Ovis aries: one gene and its partners. The protein of the gene in region 1 interacts with the protein of each later gene in a biochemical or structural test. Links are inferred from orthologs where the notes say so. Each region holds a gene or a part of one and is shown in the gene's direction. Other genes may lie near its edges.

The links.
Region 2: the proteins of HSPB1 (region 1) and CS form a complex in vitro, tested with the Homo sapiens proteins (2 studies listed by BioGRID). The link is inferred for Ovis aries from reciprocal best matches to the Homo sapiens genes HSPB1 and CS.
Region 3: of the proteins of HSPB1 (region 1) and MAPKAPK3, one has a biochemical effect on the other in vitro, tested with the Homo sapiens proteins (2 studies listed by BioGRID and IntAct). The link is inferred for Ovis aries from reciprocal best matches to the Homo sapiens genes HSPB1 and MAPKAPK3.
Region 4: of the proteins of HSPB1 (region 1) and MAPKAPK2, one has a biochemical effect on the other in vitro, tested with the Homo sapiens proteins (17 studies listed by BioGRID and IntAct, with this or other methods). The link is inferred for Ovis aries from reciprocal best matches to the Homo sapiens genes HSPB1 and MAPKAPK2.
Region 5: of the proteins of HSPB1 (region 1) and MAPKAPK5, one has a biochemical effect on the other in vitro, tested with the Homo sapiens proteins (4 studies listed by BioGRID and IntAct). The link is inferred for Ovis aries from reciprocal best matches to the Homo sapiens genes HSPB1 and MAPKAPK5.

Annotation. Positions count from the first base shown.
Region 1 is NC_056077.1:34,787,620-34,791,196, forward strand, and holds HSPB1 (heat shock protein beta-1), read left to right. Parts: upstream 1-1,464; 5' UTR 1,465-1,514; coding exon 1,515-1,866; intron 1,867-2,597; coding exon 2,598-2,661; intron 2,662-2,759; coding exon 2,760-2,949; 3' UTR 2,950-3,074; downstream 3,075-3,577. UniProt on the Homo sapiens protein: Small heat shock protein which functions as a molecular chaperone probably maintaining denatured proteins in a folding-competent state. Plays a role in stress resistance and actin organization.
Region 2 is NC_056056.1:163,274,535-163,278,050, forward strand, and holds part of CS (citrate synthase, mitochondrial), read left to right. Parts: intron 1-445; coding exon 446-634; intron 635-1,751; exon of another isoform or gene 1,752-2,062; coding exon of another isoform or gene 2,063-2,127; exon of another isoform or gene 2,128-3,109; coding exon of another isoform or gene 3,110-3,126; exon of another isoform or gene 3,127-3,192; coding exon of another isoform or gene 3,193-3,318; exon of another isoform or gene 3,319-3,516. UniProt on the Homo sapiens protein: Key enzyme of the Krebs tricarboxylic acid cycle which catalyzes the synthesis of citrate from acetyl coenzyme A and oxaloacetate.
Region 3 is NC_056072.1:49,765,489-49,769,004, reverse strand, and holds part of MAPKAPK3 (MAP kinase-activated protein kinase 3), read left to right. Parts: intron 1-559; coding exon 560-624; intron 625-1,037; coding exon 1,038-1,117; intron 1,118-2,937; coding exon 2,938-3,061; intron 3,062-3,516. UniProt on the Homo sapiens protein: Stress-activated serine/threonine-protein kinase involved in cytokines production, endocytosis, cell migration, chromatin remodeling and transcriptional regulation.
Region 4 is NC_056065.1:4,327,896-4,331,411, forward strand, and holds part of MAPKAPK2 (MAP kinase-activated protein kinase 2), read left to right. Parts: intron 1-2,857; coding exon 2,858-2,997; intron 2,998-3,161; coding exon 3,162-3,226; intron 3,227-3,479; coding exon 3,480-3,516. UniProt on the Homo sapiens protein: Stress-activated serine/threonine-protein kinase involved in cytokine production, endocytosis, reorganization of the cytoskeleton, cell migration, cell cycle control, chromatin remodeling, DNA damage response and transcriptional regulation.
Region 5 is NC_056070.1:62,409,039-62,412,554, reverse strand, and holds part of MAPKAPK5 (MAP kinase-activated protein kinase 5), read left to right. Parts: intron 1-36; coding exon 37-224; intron 225-2,402; coding exon 2,403-2,523; intron 2,524-3,516. UniProt on the Homo sapiens protein: Tumor suppressor serine/threonine-protein kinase involved in mTORC1 signaling and post-transcriptional regulation. Phosphorylates FOXO3, ERK3/MAPK6, ERK4/MAPK4, HSP27/HSPB1, p53/TP53 and RHEB.

The DNA of each region.
Region 1 (3,577 bases):
GGGGGGGGGGGGGGCAGCAAGCAGAGTGTGTCTCGGGAGAAGAGAAAACAAGAGGAGTCCAAGGTGGGAGCTTGACCAGGGGAAGAGCCCTGAGCACTAGAGATGAGAGCCTTCCTCTGCTAGTGGCTTACGGGAGACTGTAGGCCCATCACCTCATCTCCAAACCTGTTTCCTCATTGAAAAAGGAGGGATACAGGACACATGTCAGGAGAAGGAAGGCAGGAGAGAGAGATTGTTAGGATTATGGCAGGAAGCTAGGGGCAGCATCTTTTCCCAGAGCGGGTAGTGGGGGCGTGGATCTCACAGGCGGTCAGATCGGAGGAGGGGCCGGCCTCAGGCTCCAAGCAAGTTTGAAGGAATTGCCCCCTCTCCGTCTGCGGGAATATTCAACAGAACAGGATCGAGGTAATAACCTGCCAACAGGGAAAGGAGCATTGGCCCAAATCACACAAACAGCAAAGCCCTGACTAGATTCAAGGTTGCTGCATTTCAAGTTCCCCTGTCTAGGGCTCCTCCAGAAAACTAGATATAATGGGGAGACTTGACCATAACCTTCTTCCTGACCCCTTCTCAGTACTGGCCCTCAAGGTTTGTGATCTGAGTCTACTCCACTGGGGTTCAGTGGGCAAATGGCCAAACCTACACATACCATTGCCTCTGCAACAGGGACACATACATGCTTTCCTTCTTGCCCCCTCCTTCAACTTCAGGGGCTAATAATAATTATAGATAATATATTATCTATATATATTATCTATATATAAATATAGATAATATATTCATTATCGTGTACCCTGGACTAAAATGTTTACTTGCATTGAGGCTGAATCTTCAAACCAACCTAGCGATGAAAGCATTATCATCACCACCATCATCCCATTTTCCCGATGGGGAAACTGAGGCAAAAGACTCTGAACTTGCACAAGTTCATCCAGTGAGTGGCAGAACCTGCATGTGAACTCAGGCGGTCTACCTCCCGAGACCGCCCTAACCACGCTGCTTCTTAAGGCATTATATCACAGACACACTGCCTTCCAAATCCTGGCTCGCTCTGCCAGTTCCTAGTTGTGCGCCCTGGGACTCACTGCTCGACCTCTCTCTCTCCCCTTGGGACTCACTGCTCGACCTCTTTCTCTCTTTCTCTCTCTCCCTCTCGGCTTTGTCCTCCCCGACTGTCCACAGATAGAGGCCCAGCGCTTTAGCACCCAGGCCTCCGAGCGTCCAGCAGTGGGCAGTGCTCCGACATCGAGGCTCTAGTCATTTGTTTTCTCGAACAAGAGAAGGTTCCAGATGTGGGCAGGGCCTTCCTCGCCCCGCCCCGCGCCCCGGTATGCAGTGGAGGGGAATGCAGGGGGAGGGGCTGCCCCCTGGCCCGTCATTGCCATTAATAGAGACCTGAAACACCGCCTGCTAAAAATACCCGGCTGGAGACCCATAAAAGCGCTACGGGGTCCGGCGCCCGCCACTTCTCCCGCTTCTCCGAGCCTACTCCGGACGCACCCAGACTAGCCAGCATGGCCGAGCGCCGAGTGCCCTTCTCGCTCCTAAGGGGCCCCAGCTGGGACCCTTTCCGCGACTGGTATCCGGCCCACAGCCGCCTCTTCGACCAGGCCTTCGGGCTGCCCCGGCTGCCCGAGGAGTGGTCGCAGTGGCTGAGCCACAGCGGATGGCCGGGCTACGTGCGCCCGCTGCCCGCCGCAGCGATCGAGGGTCCCGCCTACAGCCGCGCGCTCAGCCGACAGCTCAGCAGCGGGGTCTCCGAGATCCAGCAGACCGCCGACCGCTGGCGCGTGTCCCTGGACGTCAACCACTTCGCCCCCGAGGAGCTGACGGTCAAGACCAAGGACGGCGTGGTGGAGATCACTGGTAAGCACCCCCTGGCCCCCGCCCCAGGGACGCCGGCCCCTCGCCTCTCGCGGGTCCCGGGGAAGAGCTCTGGGTTGAAACATGGGCGGGGAGCCGGGAGAGGGGGCCGCTGGAAAGTGAAAACTTAGCCGAGGACGGGCGGTGGGGGGGAAGGCGGGGAGCCCCCAGAGCGGGGCCCGGCCTCTTCGCCCTAGCCCTGGTCTGTATTCTCTGGAGTTGGGGTTTGCTGGAGTTCCTAAGGGATCTTTTAGCCCTAAAAAGTCTCCACTAAGGAAAGCAACGCCCCCTTCCAGCGGAGACTCCCCTCAACCCCAGCCCTCGGACCTGAGGACCTGGCCCCCAAGGGACCAGGCCCCCCCGCCACGCCCCACCCACCCGGGCCCGCAGTCGGTATGAAGAGGGCGTCGCCCTCGCCGCCCTGCCCCCCATGCCCCCCACGTCACGGTCCCTGCTCCCAGCCCGGGTCCGCGGAGGGGGCGTGTGCGCCTGCCCCGAGCCGCGCTTCCACCCCCACCCCCCACTCGCCAAGCCCCTGAACCCGAACTTTCCAAAAGCTTCTGAGTTCCCCAAAGCTTCTGAGTTCCCGGGACAGTCTCGGGCACCCAGATCCCTCCGTCAGTCTTGCCAGCCCGGAGTCCTGGCCCGCAGGTGGGGCGCGCTGGGCTGCGAGCCAGCGGCTAGGCCGCCCCTCCCCGCCTCCTCTGACCTACTTCCCCTCCCCCTCCTCCCAGGCAAACACGAGGAAAGGCAGGACGAGCACGGCTACATTTCCCGTTGCTTCACTCGCAAATACACGTGAGTCCTGGCTCCGGATCTGGGGGGCGGCGGGCGGGAGAGGGGCGCGCGGGGACGCCCTGGTGTGTAACTCTTGTCCACCCTCTTTGCCCGTCCAGGCTGCCCCCCGGTGTGGATCCCACCCTGGTCTCCTCCTCTCTGTCCCCTGAGGGCACACTCACCGTGGAGGCCCCGTTGCCCAAGTCAGCTACCCAGTCTGCCGAGATCACCATTCCCGTCACCTTCCAGGCGCGTGCCCAGCTTGGCGGCCCCGAAGCCGGAAAGTCCGAACAGCCGGCAAACAAGTAAAGGCCCTTTGCCCAGCGGCCCACCCCACAAGTAGCCATCACTGACCATCCTCACCCGCCAAACCTCTATGTTCTTTTGATACGTTTGCCTTCTGTTTTTCTCAAATAAAGTTTGAAGCCACTGCCCGCCACTGCCTCAGACCCTGCTGGTTTTGTGAAGGAAGAAGGGTTGGTGCTGGTTTGATGTTTGCTGAGGGCCCGCTGGGCACCAAGCCCCAGGCTGGGTCCTGTGGGTGCAGTATCATCTGTCACTGGGCACAGCCCTGCCCTCCTGTACCCCTTGTTCATTAAGAGAGAAGCAGTGATTGTTCACCGGAGTTAAAACGCCCAGGGCTGGAGGGGGAGCAGGGGAAATTATGAGAGGCACTTGACCCAGGCTTGGGCACTCAGGAACCACCTGGGCAAGGGGGCAGGTGAGGGAAGACAGGGCAGGGCTGGGGGAGAGGGCTTCCTGGGAGCTCAGATTCCTGACTTCATCGTAGAGGGTTTGGACCAGGTAGATTGGAGGGGAGGTGTGGCCACCCCTGGCGGCTTTCTGAGGGGCGATTCCCCCAGCCCAGCCCATGTAGGCAGCACGGGACCTGGGTCCTCAGGTCTGAGAGTGCCCCGCAGAGAGTGATGAGCAGGTG
Region 2 (3,516 bases), on another chromosome or scaffold:
CTTGAAGTTAGTCTTTTCATTTTCTTTATTTTTAATTTTTTATTTTGGTCATACCAGGCAGCTTGTAAGATCTTTGTTACCATTTTGCAAGTTACTCAGAGCCAGAGATTCAACCCAGGCTCCTAGCAGTGAGAGTGCTGAGTCCTAACCACTGGGCCACCAGGGAATACTCATTCTCTTTTTCTCTCATTTTTCTCAATTTTGGCTGTGCTGTGCCGTGCCGTGCCATGCGCAGGCTTTCTCTAGTTGTGGCACACAGGCTCTAGAGCACGTGAGCTTCTCTGTTCTCCAGCTGCAGCATGTGGGCTTTGTTGCCCGGTAACATGTCCCCTGCATTGGAAGGCAAATTCTTAACCACTGGACCACCAGGGAAGTCCCCTGTTGTCTTTTTATTTGTCTTTTTTTCCCTTGTCTAGTGTTCTGAGCGATGTCTTCCTTTTCACAGGTATCTTGGCTCTCACAGGAGTGGGCAAAGAGGGCAGCTCTGCCTTCCCATGTGGTCACCATGCTGGACAACTTTCCCACTAATCTACACCCCATGTCTCAGCTCAGTGCAGCTGTTACAGCTCTCAACAGTGAAAGTACCTTTGCCCGAGCATATTCAGAGGGTGTCAACCGAACCAAGTACTGGGAGGTAGGAAACTTTGCTGTGATGATTGATGTTTGATAGAGATTCAAAGGACCTGAGTGTGAAGAAAGAAAAAGGAATGAAGAATCCTTAGGAAAATTATTACTACCCTGAGTTATGCCACAGATTTCGTTTAACAAAATTTTATTGTAGGCTTGCTTTTTATGGGTCATTGGAATTACAAAGATAAATGAAGAATACTTTCTATCACCAAGATTATTGATTTTAGTAAGGGTTATATACACGTAAAAAAAGAATCACAGTTTAGTAATTTTGCTATAATAGAGGTATGTACACAGCACTGTAGGAATATTGAAAAAGGTGTGACTTAATTGCAGGGTCCCTGAGGAAGGTTTCGCAGAGTAGACATACCCTGGCCCCAAAAGATCCTTTCTCCTCTTCTTCAAATGAGAACCTTTTTAAGTTGGAAGAATGGCACCTAAGGCAATTCTGAAATCTAGGAAGGACCAATTGCAGTCAGCCACAGTTTGGGCTAAGCCATCCAGGTAACTGTCAGGAGTGGAAGGGTAGTTAGTATCCTGGAATGAGGATGCAAAAAGCAAATGAGCTTTATTCTCTGAAAACACTGTGACTTTCACAGTTTGAACTCTGTTGTGAAAGTATGGGAAGATTGTTGGGCCTTGTCCTAGTGTGTAGGACACACTTCCTGCCCTCCTCTTTCCAATACCTCACAAATACTGTGTAAAGTACAGTTTATCTGGCTAGGTCTACAGAAGGACATTTCTTTTTGTTTGTTTGTTTCTTATTTAGAGACAGGTAGAATAGGAATGGAAAAGTCCCTTTTGGCAAAGCAGATGCAATTAAATGATTTTTGACCAGAAGGCCCCTAAAGAGTTCACTGTGAGTTCATACTATTCATAGAATAGTATGGCCCACTTGTCTGATGAAATCTCCTTGGGGTTTTGGCAAATCCCACTCCATTTGATTGGTCAGTGTTTACTCAGTACCAGCTGTGTATACAGAATTGAGTGCTGTTGAGGGAAAGAGGGAGAGAAGGTTTACAATTGACACTAGTCTGGTTGGCTTTGAGGAGAAAGGTATAGGAATGATGCAGACTAAACATCTCCACAAGGGTTTATTTATGAAGTCACAAATCAGCAGATTCAGAAGGCTGTATAACCTGAATTTATTGCTTTTCATTTTCTTTTTAAAATGCTGTTTCAAGTCATTGTTATCTGTGTGGGTCACCATAACAGAAAAGGTTAAATCAAGCCCAGGATTTCTCTTAAAACTTGTTTGTTAGAAACTGACCACTCAGGAGTGCCTGTTACTACTTATGATGCTGTTGCCTTGACGATTGTAGAGTTCTTCATGCTAAGATATTTCCCAGGTATCCTTCCAGGCTGCGTTGCTTCACACTGTCCTTTACTGAATCAGGAAGATGAATGTTCTCTGCTTGCTCTTGCCTCCGATTCAGTGTACAGGTATTGGTTGGTTGTTCTGCCACCTCTTGGGAGATGTCATTTGAGGGTGGCTGTCTTGAGGTAAAGATTGTATTTCAGGACTTTATCAACCTGGAGACTATTTATAAGCATTACGGATAAACCCGTCAGCCTCAGGGTGTGTGTCTAATAAAAGTTCATACTGAACAAAAGTTAGCTCGAGTAATTGCTCTAGTGGAACTTGGTGCCGTTTTGCTGCCACGTCTTGTATCTCTCTCAAAGGTCACTGAAGCACTGTTTCAATTTAGTTCTCTCGCTTAATTTAACCATTCTGCTTAAGTAGAGTTACATGACAGCATTCACCTGGTTATTTCTGTTTAAAAGTTTATGTTAAAGAGTACATGTGATCTAAGTCTCTTCTAGAATTATCACTTCATGCTGTTTTACATATATCTCAAGAGGATGATCTGCCTACAGCTTTCCTTCCATAGCAGTTTACATGACTTTAGGTCTTTTTGTAATTGACTTAACTTCACTTGTGACTAGGAGATTACTCTGCACAAGCTGTTTAACTGTGAGGTAGCCTTAAGATACTGTTGGATTGGGTAAAATTTGCAAAGTAGCTGACAGATCAGGTTTTTCTAGTAAGGCCTATGAACAATATGTGTAGGGTTTGACGCTGTTTATAGTAAAGTCATCATTCCAACACCTAACAAACAGCTCTTGAAAGCATCAGCTTGAATGCTTATACTCATCTGATTTAATCATCAGAACAACCCCATGGGGTAGACCTTACTGTTTATTCTCATTTTACTGAATGGCAAGGTTGAAGATGAGAGAAATAAAGTAGCATGCCCAGGGTCATGCAGCTAGTAGCTGGTGGAGACCAGGTTGAGAATTGAGTTTGCAAATGGCAACCCACTCCAGTACTCTTGTCTGGAGATTCCCAGGGATGGGGGAGCCTGGTGGGCTGCCGTCTGTGGGGTTGCACAGAGTTGGACACGGCTGAAGTGACTTAGCAGTAGCAGCAGCAGGGTCTCTTCACCATTAGTACTGACTCTTCGTTTTCTGTGTCTTCTTAATAATGATTGATAGCTATTAGTAATACAACATTGTAAATCAGCTATACTCCAATAAAATTTTTTTAAAAATGATTGCTTGCTAAATACTTGGCCAGAATTTCTCTAGCCCTAGAGATGCTGGGTCACAGTGATGATTGTGGCCAGTTGTGTTACCTTTATTCCAGGCAGTTGTGGTGGTGGCATGTTTTGTCCTTTTTTTTTTTTTCTGAGGGTTTAAAGATGAAGAATGAGTTAGTACCAGTAGCTAAGTAGCACCTCAGTCTTATTTATTAGCTTATTAAAGAAGAAATAAGGAGTTCTCTGTCAGTGTGTTTATCTATTGAATCTCTTGACAGTACAGCTTTCCCACTACAAAAAGCAGGGTAAAGATCCCACACTGTCAGACCTGGTCTGATACTAGCTG
Region 3 (3,516 bases), on another chromosome or scaffold:
GATCGCTGTAACTTCCATGTAGAGTGTGGAGGGAGATCTTAGTGCGGCATTCACCCTGTTCATTCTAAGTGCTCTAAGTACTGCCGAATCAGTCTTCCCAACTCTGTGAGGCTGGTGCGCTAATCCCTGTTTTACAGAAGAGGAAGCTGAGGCACAGAAAGGTGAAGGGACCCACCCAGGATCACACAGCAGTGCCACAAAGGGTTTGCCCAGGGCATGGCACACAGTGGGTGCTCAGAAGACAGTGGTCATGAGGATGATAACTGACATCTCATTCCTCACTTGGGTAAACTTGGATAAAAGTGGGGCTGCCAGATCAAGACAGTGTCCCTGGGAACATAGATGCTCCCTGGGGAAGATCCTCCCCTAGTTCGAAGAGTTGAGTTCAACCCACCGAAGCCGACAGCCTACCACGCACCAGGCTCTTCAAGAAACAGTGAGGCTGACAGTGGCCATTCCCCAGGGGAAGAGCAGCAGGGCTGGAGGCCTGGGCCCATGACGCGGGGCAGGGGCAGGTCGACCCCTGATCCTCCCCCTCTGTCCCTGCTTTCTCTGGCAGCATGGAAGGTGGTGAATTGTTCAGCAGGATTCAGGAGCGTGGCGACCAGGCTTTCACTGAAAGAGGTATGTATGTGCCGCTGCACAGGGAGTTTGGGCCGAGATGGGGCACACAGAGTTTCTCTGTGACGCTGGGCAAGGCCCTGTCCCTCTCTGTGCCTCAGTTTCCCAACTTGAACAAGGGTAGGGGGAGATGTTCTTCCCCCAAGGGGTTCTGTGAGTCTGTGGCAGCTTGTCAGAGATAGACTCCCCATGGGCCTGGGATGGAGGCCTCAATGCTTCTTGGTGCCAGCCCGCAGCTGAGCTGGGGGCATCTCCAGAAGAAACTAGGGGGACCAGTGTTGGGCTCTGAGGTGGGGTCCTGGGTGGCAGGAGTGCACCATCTTGTGCTCTCCCAAGAGGGGTGATGGGGAGGGGGCCCCTGGGCTGCCTGACCCTCGAGAGGCATCCGTGGCCCCCTCCTCTGTCCATGTCTGCAGAAGCCGCAGAGATCATGCGGGATATTGGCACTGCCATCCAGTTTCTGCACAGCCGGAACATCGCCCACCGAGATGTCAAGGTGAGGCTCCAGGACCCATGTTGGGGGACCAGGACAAAGAGTGCCATCCACAAACCCCAGAAGTCCCAGCATCCACTGGATGGAGGCCACGTTCCTTGCTTGGCATTCCAGGCCTCTCCCCGCGGCCCATACTGCATGGCTCAGCCTCTCCTCCCACGGTCCCAGCGTGTTCACTGTGCTCTAGCCAGATAGGCCTCCTTGTTTCCTTCAAGCGTATATAATCCCAGTAGGCATAAGAATAAACTAGTGCCCACCTTGAGCCACTGGGTCCTGAGAAGCATCTCGTTTAATCCTCACCCAGCCCTGTGAGAGGGTGCCATTACCCATTTGACAGATGAGGAAACCGAGGCTCAGAGAGTGATTGTCTTGCTCAAGCCTCTGCAGATGCTGCACTGTCGTTTTGCTCAAGGCTCTGCAGGTGCCTCCCTGGGGATTCATGCATTCATTTGTTCACTCAGCAAGAATTTTGTGAAGACAGTGTGCCAGGCTTCGGTGACAGGGCTGCCCAACACTGTTGGAGCTTGTGTGAAGTAACAGCCATAGTTCCCGTAGGCAGAGCCCTCTGATGGCAGCATTTTAGGGGAAGGAGGCCCTTTGCTGGCCACTGGACAAAGGAGCGGAGGTGATCCTAGTGGCTGGACCTGCTTGTCCCTCCAGTGGACGGGCTTGAGAATGTTCTCTCCAAATTTCCTGTCCAGGGAGGACTGGATCTTACAGGTGATTAGGATCAGATGGAAGAAATGCAAACCAAGGCTTCACATGCACACACACACTCACCTGCCTGTGCCAGCCACTGTCAGAGCAGAATTACAACTCCTGGGCCCTCGGCCTCCCACCTAGACCCTGACTGTCCCGCCCCCCAGACTTATTTCCTCCTAAGACCGGACAGAGGAGACCCGAAGGTCCAGCCGCTGTATCAGATTCTTCCTCTGGCTGAGTATCACCAACTCGTGCGGTTACCCTTTGATCTTGGATACACATGGAGCCACAACAGTCTCACCTTCTGAACCATTGCTTTATTTTGGCCCTGGCCTCCTTTTTTTCCCCTTAAGTGGAGAAAAGCCTTCTATGGAGAAGATTCCTATAGAAAAACTGCTTCCCTGTTTTTCACCCCAGTCCAAGTTTGGATCATCTCAAATAGAACCTGAGAAATAGCTTTCACTGGCTCCAAACTGAAATTCCATGTGCCACCCCATCCCTCTGCCCCAGCTCTGCTGCTTCTCTCCATGGGCCTAGGTCCTACCCATTCATTAGGAAGCAGCTTGAGGGCTGCCTCCTCCATGCAGACCTCCCCACTGCCTTCATCCCTCAGACCCTCTGTGCCCTACAACCAGGAAGACTGGCCTCTGTGCAGCTCCCAGGGCTGAGTTCCCCGAGCAGCGTCAGGTAGGGGCCTGTCATGCAGGCTCGTTCTGGGCTGGGTACAGGATGTGTGCTTGGCAGCACTGGCTCATGAGCAGCCCCCCATTTCCCTGGAACCCTCATTTTGGCATCTCATGGCAGCATCACCGACTGAAGCTCAGAAGTTCCTGCCCCTGGGCTCTCTGTGGCACTCAGTTATCCCCAGGCTTGGTGGAACCACTGCCTTAGTTTCCCCCCTGTGAAACAAGGTGTCACCTCTCAGCTACGTTAGTCTCTTCCACCTTTGGCCCATGTCATTGGCGGCCAAGACCCAGGTCTTTTTTAGTGAGATGGATCCGGCTCCTCCTGCCTCAATCTGGATGAGGGAGGGAGGAAGGAAATCTGACTGCAGATCACCGTGGAAATCTGCCCCCACCTGGTGCCTGAGTCCAGACTAACGTTTTCTCTCCCTGGCCCAGCCTGAAAACCTGCTCTACACGTCCAAGGATAAAGATGCGGTGCTGAAGCTCACGGACTTTGGCTTTGCCAAAGAGACCACCCAGAATGCCCTGCAAACTCCATGTTACACTCCCTACTATGTGGGTGAGTCCCTGGGATGTGGCCGGTACCTCTTTATTGCACCCCGCCCCCCACCCCCACCCCACTGTGGTCTGGGGCAGCTTGTGGGACACAGAAGCCAAAGAGTTAAAGCGCTGTGAGGAGGGAGGGGAGGGTTCTGTCTGTGTGGAGGTGGCAGCTGGGGGGCCGGAGGCTGCAAAAATATTCTCCCAAACTTCAGTTTTTGCTCTTGAAAATAGATCCAGGAAAATTCTGGCTCTGGCCTGTGAGCTGAATGACATCACAGTGGCTCTAAATATATATGTGATAAAAGGCTGCCGTCGGCTTGGGATGGAGCCCAAGTGCGGTTGTTTTTCTCCGGTTTTTATCTTCCTGGGAGTCATATTCAGAAAGTGGGCAGGCGCGTCCTCCTACACGAGAGGGAAGCAAGGGGCCAGCCACCTGTGTTTTGGGAAAGCGTCCCTTAGGTGAGGGCCAGG
Region 4 (3,516 bases), on another chromosome or scaffold:
CCTCTGCCAGCTACGGAGTGAACTGTGTGCAAATCTGAAGGCGGAATGTGAACCCAGGCTTCCTGGCTGCACGTTCTCTTTTGCCTGATGCCCCACACGTTGCTGTGTCTGAGGTAAAGAGAGCAGGCAGATCCTGCAATGTGTACTCTGAGTTTAGGAGGGGCTGGGGGGCGTGCACGTGGGTTTGGGCCTTGGTGTGTGCTCACTTAGAGAAGAAAATGGCAACCCACTCCAGTGTTCTTGCCTAGAGAGTCCTGTGGACGGAGGAGCCTGGTGGGCTGCTGTCTCTGGGGTCGCACAGAGTCGGACATGACTGAAGCGACTTAGCAGCAGCAGCAGTAGCAGCGTGCTCACTTAGCACAGCTGTGGAAAGTTTGAGCAGAGCTGGTTTCTAGGCGGTGGTCATGGGGCTGCAGACGCAAACCCAGCCTATGGTCTTGCTGGTGACTTGTAACATCAGGGTTTGTCGGTTATATCAGGGTGTTCCAGCCTCACTCAGAGGTGACTGAGAGGGCCCCTGTGCTGTGGCAGCTACACTGATGGCTTGCAGAGGTGAGCGCCTTTCTGATAACAAAGTGTGCTCAGAGGTTCTTTCATTAGAAGCTTGCAGTGGCTCTGTGAGGGAGGGAGGCAGATATTGTAACCCCTGACTCGCAGATGTGGAGCAGGCTCAAAAGGTGACGGTCTCTCCAAGGCTGTGCAACCAGAAATGGACAGATTTCAGACCCAGGCCCAAGTGCCTCCTAACTGCAGATCCTTGACCTCCTGTTGCCTCTGAGTGACTGTGACAGCTTGGGCTTCAGCACTGTGTGCCTGTAGAGGGCGACAGAGGTCTTTCTTTTGGGGCTGCGGGGAGAACTCTTTCTCTTGAACTCTGAATTTAGCAGTCTCACAGCAGCTTCTCACTGGGTTATAAGCATTTTCTGTGTGGCAGCCTTCGCTCACACCCCTTCCCCCAGTTTGAGTTTTTTCAGGTCGTTCAGTTGCTCAGTCGTGTCTGACTCTTTGCGACCTCATGGACTGCAGCCCATCAGGCTTCCCTGTCCTTCACCATCTCCCGGAATTTGCTCAAACTCATGTCCAATGATGCCGTCCAACTGTCTCTTTCAGACTGGGACTCTCTGGTTTTCACATCTAGCACAACGTGTGGTCCATAGTAGGAGCTCTGTAAATGCTTGTTGAATTGAAATACTTTCAAATGAGATTGGCCAGAGTCTCTTCCTCCTTTTCATAGGGTGTGGGAAGGGAAAATAACCTTTTTGAATGAATGAAGTTGAAGGGAGCAAACTCAGGATCTGTGCAGTGTCCCTATACTGCCACCAGGTGGCAGTGTGACCTCATGGTGACTGCTCCCTAGGAGACTGAATTATCTGGGCACCTGTTGGGGGTTGTGTCTCTGAAACCAGTTTGCATTTGGTGATCTGAGACTAACAAGTCTTGGCTTCCACCCCTCCTCTAAAAGTTGCATGGTATCGTGGAAAAGGTTTAGGCTTCGGAATCCACATGGCCTGGATTCCAGCCCTGGCTTCCCCCAGGAAATGAGCCTGGGACACGTTGCTTCTGTGAGCCTCAATTTCCTCAGCCTGTAAAACGGGCAGCAGTTGTACAGTAAGGCAAAGCCCAGCGTGTCATAGACCACAGCATAACTGAATGTTAGCTTTATTGTTGGGAGCACCTGTTTGCCTTTCCCCTTCCTGTGTAATCGGGCTCCTCTCTGGCCATCTGATCTTCTTCACCAAGACTCGTGCGCTTCCCAGCAGGTGTCTTAGTGCTCCGCTGTGCCACCCCCACCTCAGGGTAGCCCCTGGTACCAGAGTGACTGTCCTGGCACCAGGTGCCATGCGCAGGAGACATGCCGCTTTCTCTGCCCCTTTCCAGAGGCCTCTGCAGACTTGCTGCAGAGTGCTACCTGACCAGTGTTGGGTCTTAGTAAACGGCTTGGGATTAATGAAACCGGCTTAGACTAGTCAAATCTCGGCCTTGGACGCAGGTAAGGGAGCCAGGCTCCTTTAATACCTTGGCCACCTGGTCCCTGAAAGAAGAGGGGTTGGGAACAAGGCTCATGTTAAGTGACTTGCTCCAGGTTGGGGATCTATTAAGAACCAGGAGTTAGATCACACTGGCTGGCTCCTGAGGCTATTTGCTGTTGAAAGGATATGGCTGTGGATTTGGTGTGCTGGGTTCAGGGATCTTAGAGCTTCCTTTCCCGACAGATCTGGAGGCTCCCCTCTCTAGGCCCCTTTCTGCGGTTATCTGGATGTTCGTCAGTCTTTCTTCCCACCCAGGCATCCTGTACTCTCCGCCTCCCAGTGCTCAGCCCTGCCTGCCTTTTGGAGTAGACTTCATGCCTTTAGCTGGGGAGAGGACCAACCGTCTTTCCCTACGTGGTCAAGGGTGGTCTCCAGTCAGCTGTGGAGACCTCACAAGGGGTCACCCTGAAGTTTCTTTTAGAGCAGAAAAGAGAGCTGCAGGGCCCCAAGTCAGGCTTGGGAGGGGGTGCAGGGCTGTGACAAGAGGGCTGGTGCTGGGCTGGGTAGGGGGTGGATGGGCTGGGGCAGAGGACTTGATGGACCAGGGCAGGGGCCGTTGATGGACCGGGGCAGGGGCTGTTGATGGACCGGGGCAGGGGACTTGATGGGCTGGGGCGGGGGTTGGGCGGACCGGGGTTGGCAGGTGGATGGCAGGGTGGGGCGTCAATGGGCTGGGGCAGGGGACTTGATGGGCCGGGGCGGGCGGGGTGCAGATGTGGGGGCAGGGTTCAGTGGCGTGCCGGTGAGGGCTGACGGGCACATGGGCCGGGTCAGGGGAGGTGCAGGCGGGGCAGCCCCCGTGCTCCCTCAGGAGGTCTGGCTTGCAGATGCTGCAGGACTGCCCCAAGGCCCGCCGCGAGGTGGAGCTGCACTGGCGCGCCTCGCAGTGCCCGCACATCGTGCGCATCGTGGACGTCTACGAGAACCTGTACGCGGGGCGGAAGTGCCTGCTGATCGTCATGGAGTGGTGAGCAGCCCGACCCTGCTCCCCGCCCGGTCCCCTTTCCTTCCCAGGACTGCAGGCTGGGGGCGCTGAAACTCAGCATGCAAGCACCTCGTTCTTCTTGGAGGGTAGTGGCTTGCGCGCTAGTGCGATGTCACGGCCTCAGTCTAACTGTGGCTTTGTTTCAGTTTGGATGGCGGAGAACTGTTCAGTCGAATCCAGGACCGAGGAGACCAAGCCTTCACGGAAAGAGGTAGAAAGGGTCTGTCGCGGGCCCAGCTGGGCGGCGGGGCAGCGGGGCTCCAGGGGCCTGCTCCCAGGGAGGTGCTCAGGCCCGCTGCCCACCTGCTGCTGGGGCTCTGCCCGCTCCTGCACCTCGCCTTCTGGGGTGGGTGGGGGCGTCAGGGGCCTTAGGCTTCCCGGGAGGGCTCTTGCCTCAGCTTTTCAAACCTAAGGACGCATCTTGTGACTTGGCTTCTGGCTCCCTGCTCCCGTCTCCTCCGCAGAGGCTTCAGAGATCATGAAGAGCATCGGCGAGGCCAT
Region 5 (3,516 bases), on another chromosome or scaffold:
CTCTGGTATGAGTGACCATTTTCTTTTTGCTTTCAGAGCTGTGACTTGTGGTCCCTAGGGGTGATTATCTATGTGATGTTGTGCGGATACCCTCCTTTTTACTCCAAACACCATAGCCGGACTATCCCAAAGGATATGCGGAGAAAAATCATGACAGGCAGTTTTGAGTTCCCGGAGGAAGAGTGGAGCCAGATCTCAGAGATGGCCAAAGATGTTGTGAGAAAGTGAGTCTCTGGGCCACTGGGTGGGGCCCTTAAAAGTGGTGGAATGCAAAGCAATGTTGGGTAGAGAAAATTCTTTGTTTTGCAGGCATGTACCTTCTCATTTTTATCATCACAGAAAATCTGTCCTGGAGTCTGAAATGAGAGTTCTCAGTATCCACATCTCGGTGAAATTGGAGCTGTACTCCCTCCTGTTGCATTCCTAGAATTTGTCCCTAGGGTTGAATCCAGGTCCCTTGGTAGCCACTGTATCCGTTAGCATTAATTCAGACTTTAAATGGTAACCCCCGGTGCATCCTTCCTGCACGGAGGCCAGTCGTTTGGCACTGACATGATGCCGGAAGCTGAACTAGGGTGCCGGAATGGCCACGACGCTTTTGTCCTTTCCTCCCTTAGCTACTGTGGGAGTGTGACTGGTTGTCCAGGACCTCAATCCCACCCTGGCCTCCCTGCTGCTAGTTGGTTGCTCTGACATATAGAGATAGAAAGGTTCAAAAGGACTAGGGCTAAGTGAGTGGATGAGGGACACATGACATTCAGAGTCCTTTGTTTCTTACAGAGCAGCGCACAGCTGTGATGTGAGGCGCGAGTGGCCACAGCGGCAGGCTCCCTGGGCCGCCTTCCTCAGGCGGACACTGTTCTGTCCTGCTGTTCAGGAGGGGCTTGGGTTGAGGCCTCTGTGGACCCAGTTTCTGAGGCAGGTGGAACTGCGTTTAATTAAGATAGGAGTCTGTTATTAATAAGCATGCTCTGACTACAGGCCATGAAATCACCTGAAACCTACAGACATGGTAGTGCCTTTCAACATATCTTCCCCAAGAATGACCTCACACATGGGCACGTGCTCCAGCTCCTTAGCTGAAGTTACTAAGAAGTCAGGCCTACATAGGAGGTGTGCTCGGTTTTTCTGCCCACCTGTGCCAGGGGATCTGCTGCCTGGGACTTATGCGCTCTTCTGACATTACTACTTTGCTCTTCACTGAGTAATTGCTCCTCTTGATTTCAGTTTCTTCATCTGTAATGTGATAAAGATAAGCATTAAAGGGGCAGTACCTGGGAACTGTCTCCTAATAGTACAGCTATTTCTCTATGCAGATTACTCTCTTTCAGAAGTGAACTTGTCCTGTTGGTTAGGTATTCATGTACATAAAAAGGGATTCATTTCTTAAGTATCCAAGTGAACGTGTTTTAGGAGGGTGGAGGCAATTTGAAATCTGTCTTCCCATGTTCTTTCCATGCTGTATTCTCAGCTACTTAACCAAAACATCGATATCCTCTAAGTGGTTCTCTGCAGTTCTATAGAGTGTATTTCCCCTGTCACTAGAGTAACATTGATTATCTTCTCTCAGCATTGAGGGTCTTTTCTAAATAATCCTTTCTTTAGAATCTGAAGCTGTTCACAATGATCCAGAAAGTTACAGAGAACATGAAAGAGCAAGTAGGCACGTTGTCCTGACTGATGTTTGGAATGGGAGGCTATGTATTTGGAAGGAGTGCTGTAAAAGGTCCAGGGAATATGCTGGGGTAAGCTAGGAATTGCATCGGTATGAATGTACAAGATGAAAAGAACTGTGGTCAAAAGCTGATGGTATAGACAATACATTAGGCTTAGAAAGAAATGCTGTTCCCTTCTCAGATATTAGATTTTTAGCTTAGAATGTCTTCGGAGAAATGGCTCAGGGTTCGTGTGCTGCCATATGGTGCTATCTAAAAGTTTTATCACAAGTAGCAATCTGGATTTTCAGAACTGTATGATCGCTTAACTAATTTTACAGCCACTGTTGGCCAAAAGAGTACTTTGAGTCCCTTCTGGAAATTATAGCCCACTGTCCTAGAAACATTAGTCTGGGGATTCAGTGTCTCAGGAACTGTGAGCCATATGTAAGATTGATTACCTTACTGAACCTAGAACTCAGTCTGAGGTATCACTGGATTAAGCCTTTTCCTACCATTTTTAATCTCAATTTATTTAGTAGAGAAAGGACTGCCTAAGGACACAGCGCCCTCACAACTAACAGTTAGGGAAGAGAATCTCACCTCTGTCCTGCAGAAAGCCTAGGCTGTAAGAGTTGGCAGAAAGTAGAAAGTCAGAAGCTGGAGCTGACTAGAGCCAGGCTCGGGAACTTTATGGCCTTCTGGAAGCAACTGTGCATGGCAGCCCTTTTGGCCTTTTCTCCACAGGCTCTTGAAGGTCAAACCAGAGGAAAGACTTACCATCGAGGGAGTGCTGGACCACCCCTGGCTCAACTCAACTGAGGCCCTGGATAATGTGCTACCCTCTGCTCAACTGATGATGGATAAGGTTCTGAATGATGCTTATGTTGTTGGCCAAAATGGTGGTGTTGGGAAGGAATGCTGGGGCTTGACTCAGTGAGGGGGTTAAAGGCAAAACAATGCAGAGCGCACTGTCTTTCCCAGAGAAACATCTCTGGTCTCCTGAAGATCAGGATTGGAAACAAGGAGCTTCCTTCCATAAAGACCAGATCAAAGCCTGGTACATACACTAAGGGAACATTCAAAGTATCCTCTTCCACATTTGTGCTGTGGGGTTGAGGCAGAGAGCAGTATCAGACATCAACCATCCTTTTGCCCAAGGGGTTTAAATAAGACTGGTTAGAAACACCAATAAATACAAAACAAAGAGGGAATACTCTCAGACATCAGAGCTTTTGCATGCTAAATTTTCTGTGAATTCTTATGGGAATTCAGAAAAAGAAGACATCTTTGAAGGGCTGTAATTAGGGAAGGGTTCCCAAAGAGAAGGCAAAACCCATCACAGTTACTAACTATTGTGTGGCACTTTTAAACCCCTTTACATGTTTAGCTGTGAGCTGGCCTTGGAAGAACTGGAGTAGAGAGCACATGTGCCCACATATTATGGACAACATGAGCGAAAAATTAGAGGCTGAAATCCATCAGTGGGAAAAACAGCCTGATTTCATTAATGGGAAGTTGGTGAAATGGGTGTGATAGGGAAGGGCCTGGCTTTGAAAGTAGACAGAGGGGTGTAAGTCTTAGTAGGACCTAATTGAGAGGCTCGTACAGATTTCTGAGAAGAGTTCTGCTACAGGGAAGATATTTAGGGTAGGGATGGTTAGTCAGACTTGCAGACTCACCAATCTAATACTACTACAGTAATCTAGAAGCTGGAAAGCTGCACTAGGAGCAGAGAGGTAGAGATGAATGAATAGGCTCAATATTTTTGAAGACAAATTTCAACAATTTTTGGTGACTGACTAGAGATAAGGGGACAGTGAGTGGCATATCTGGTGATACCACTGACAGGGAAATCAGA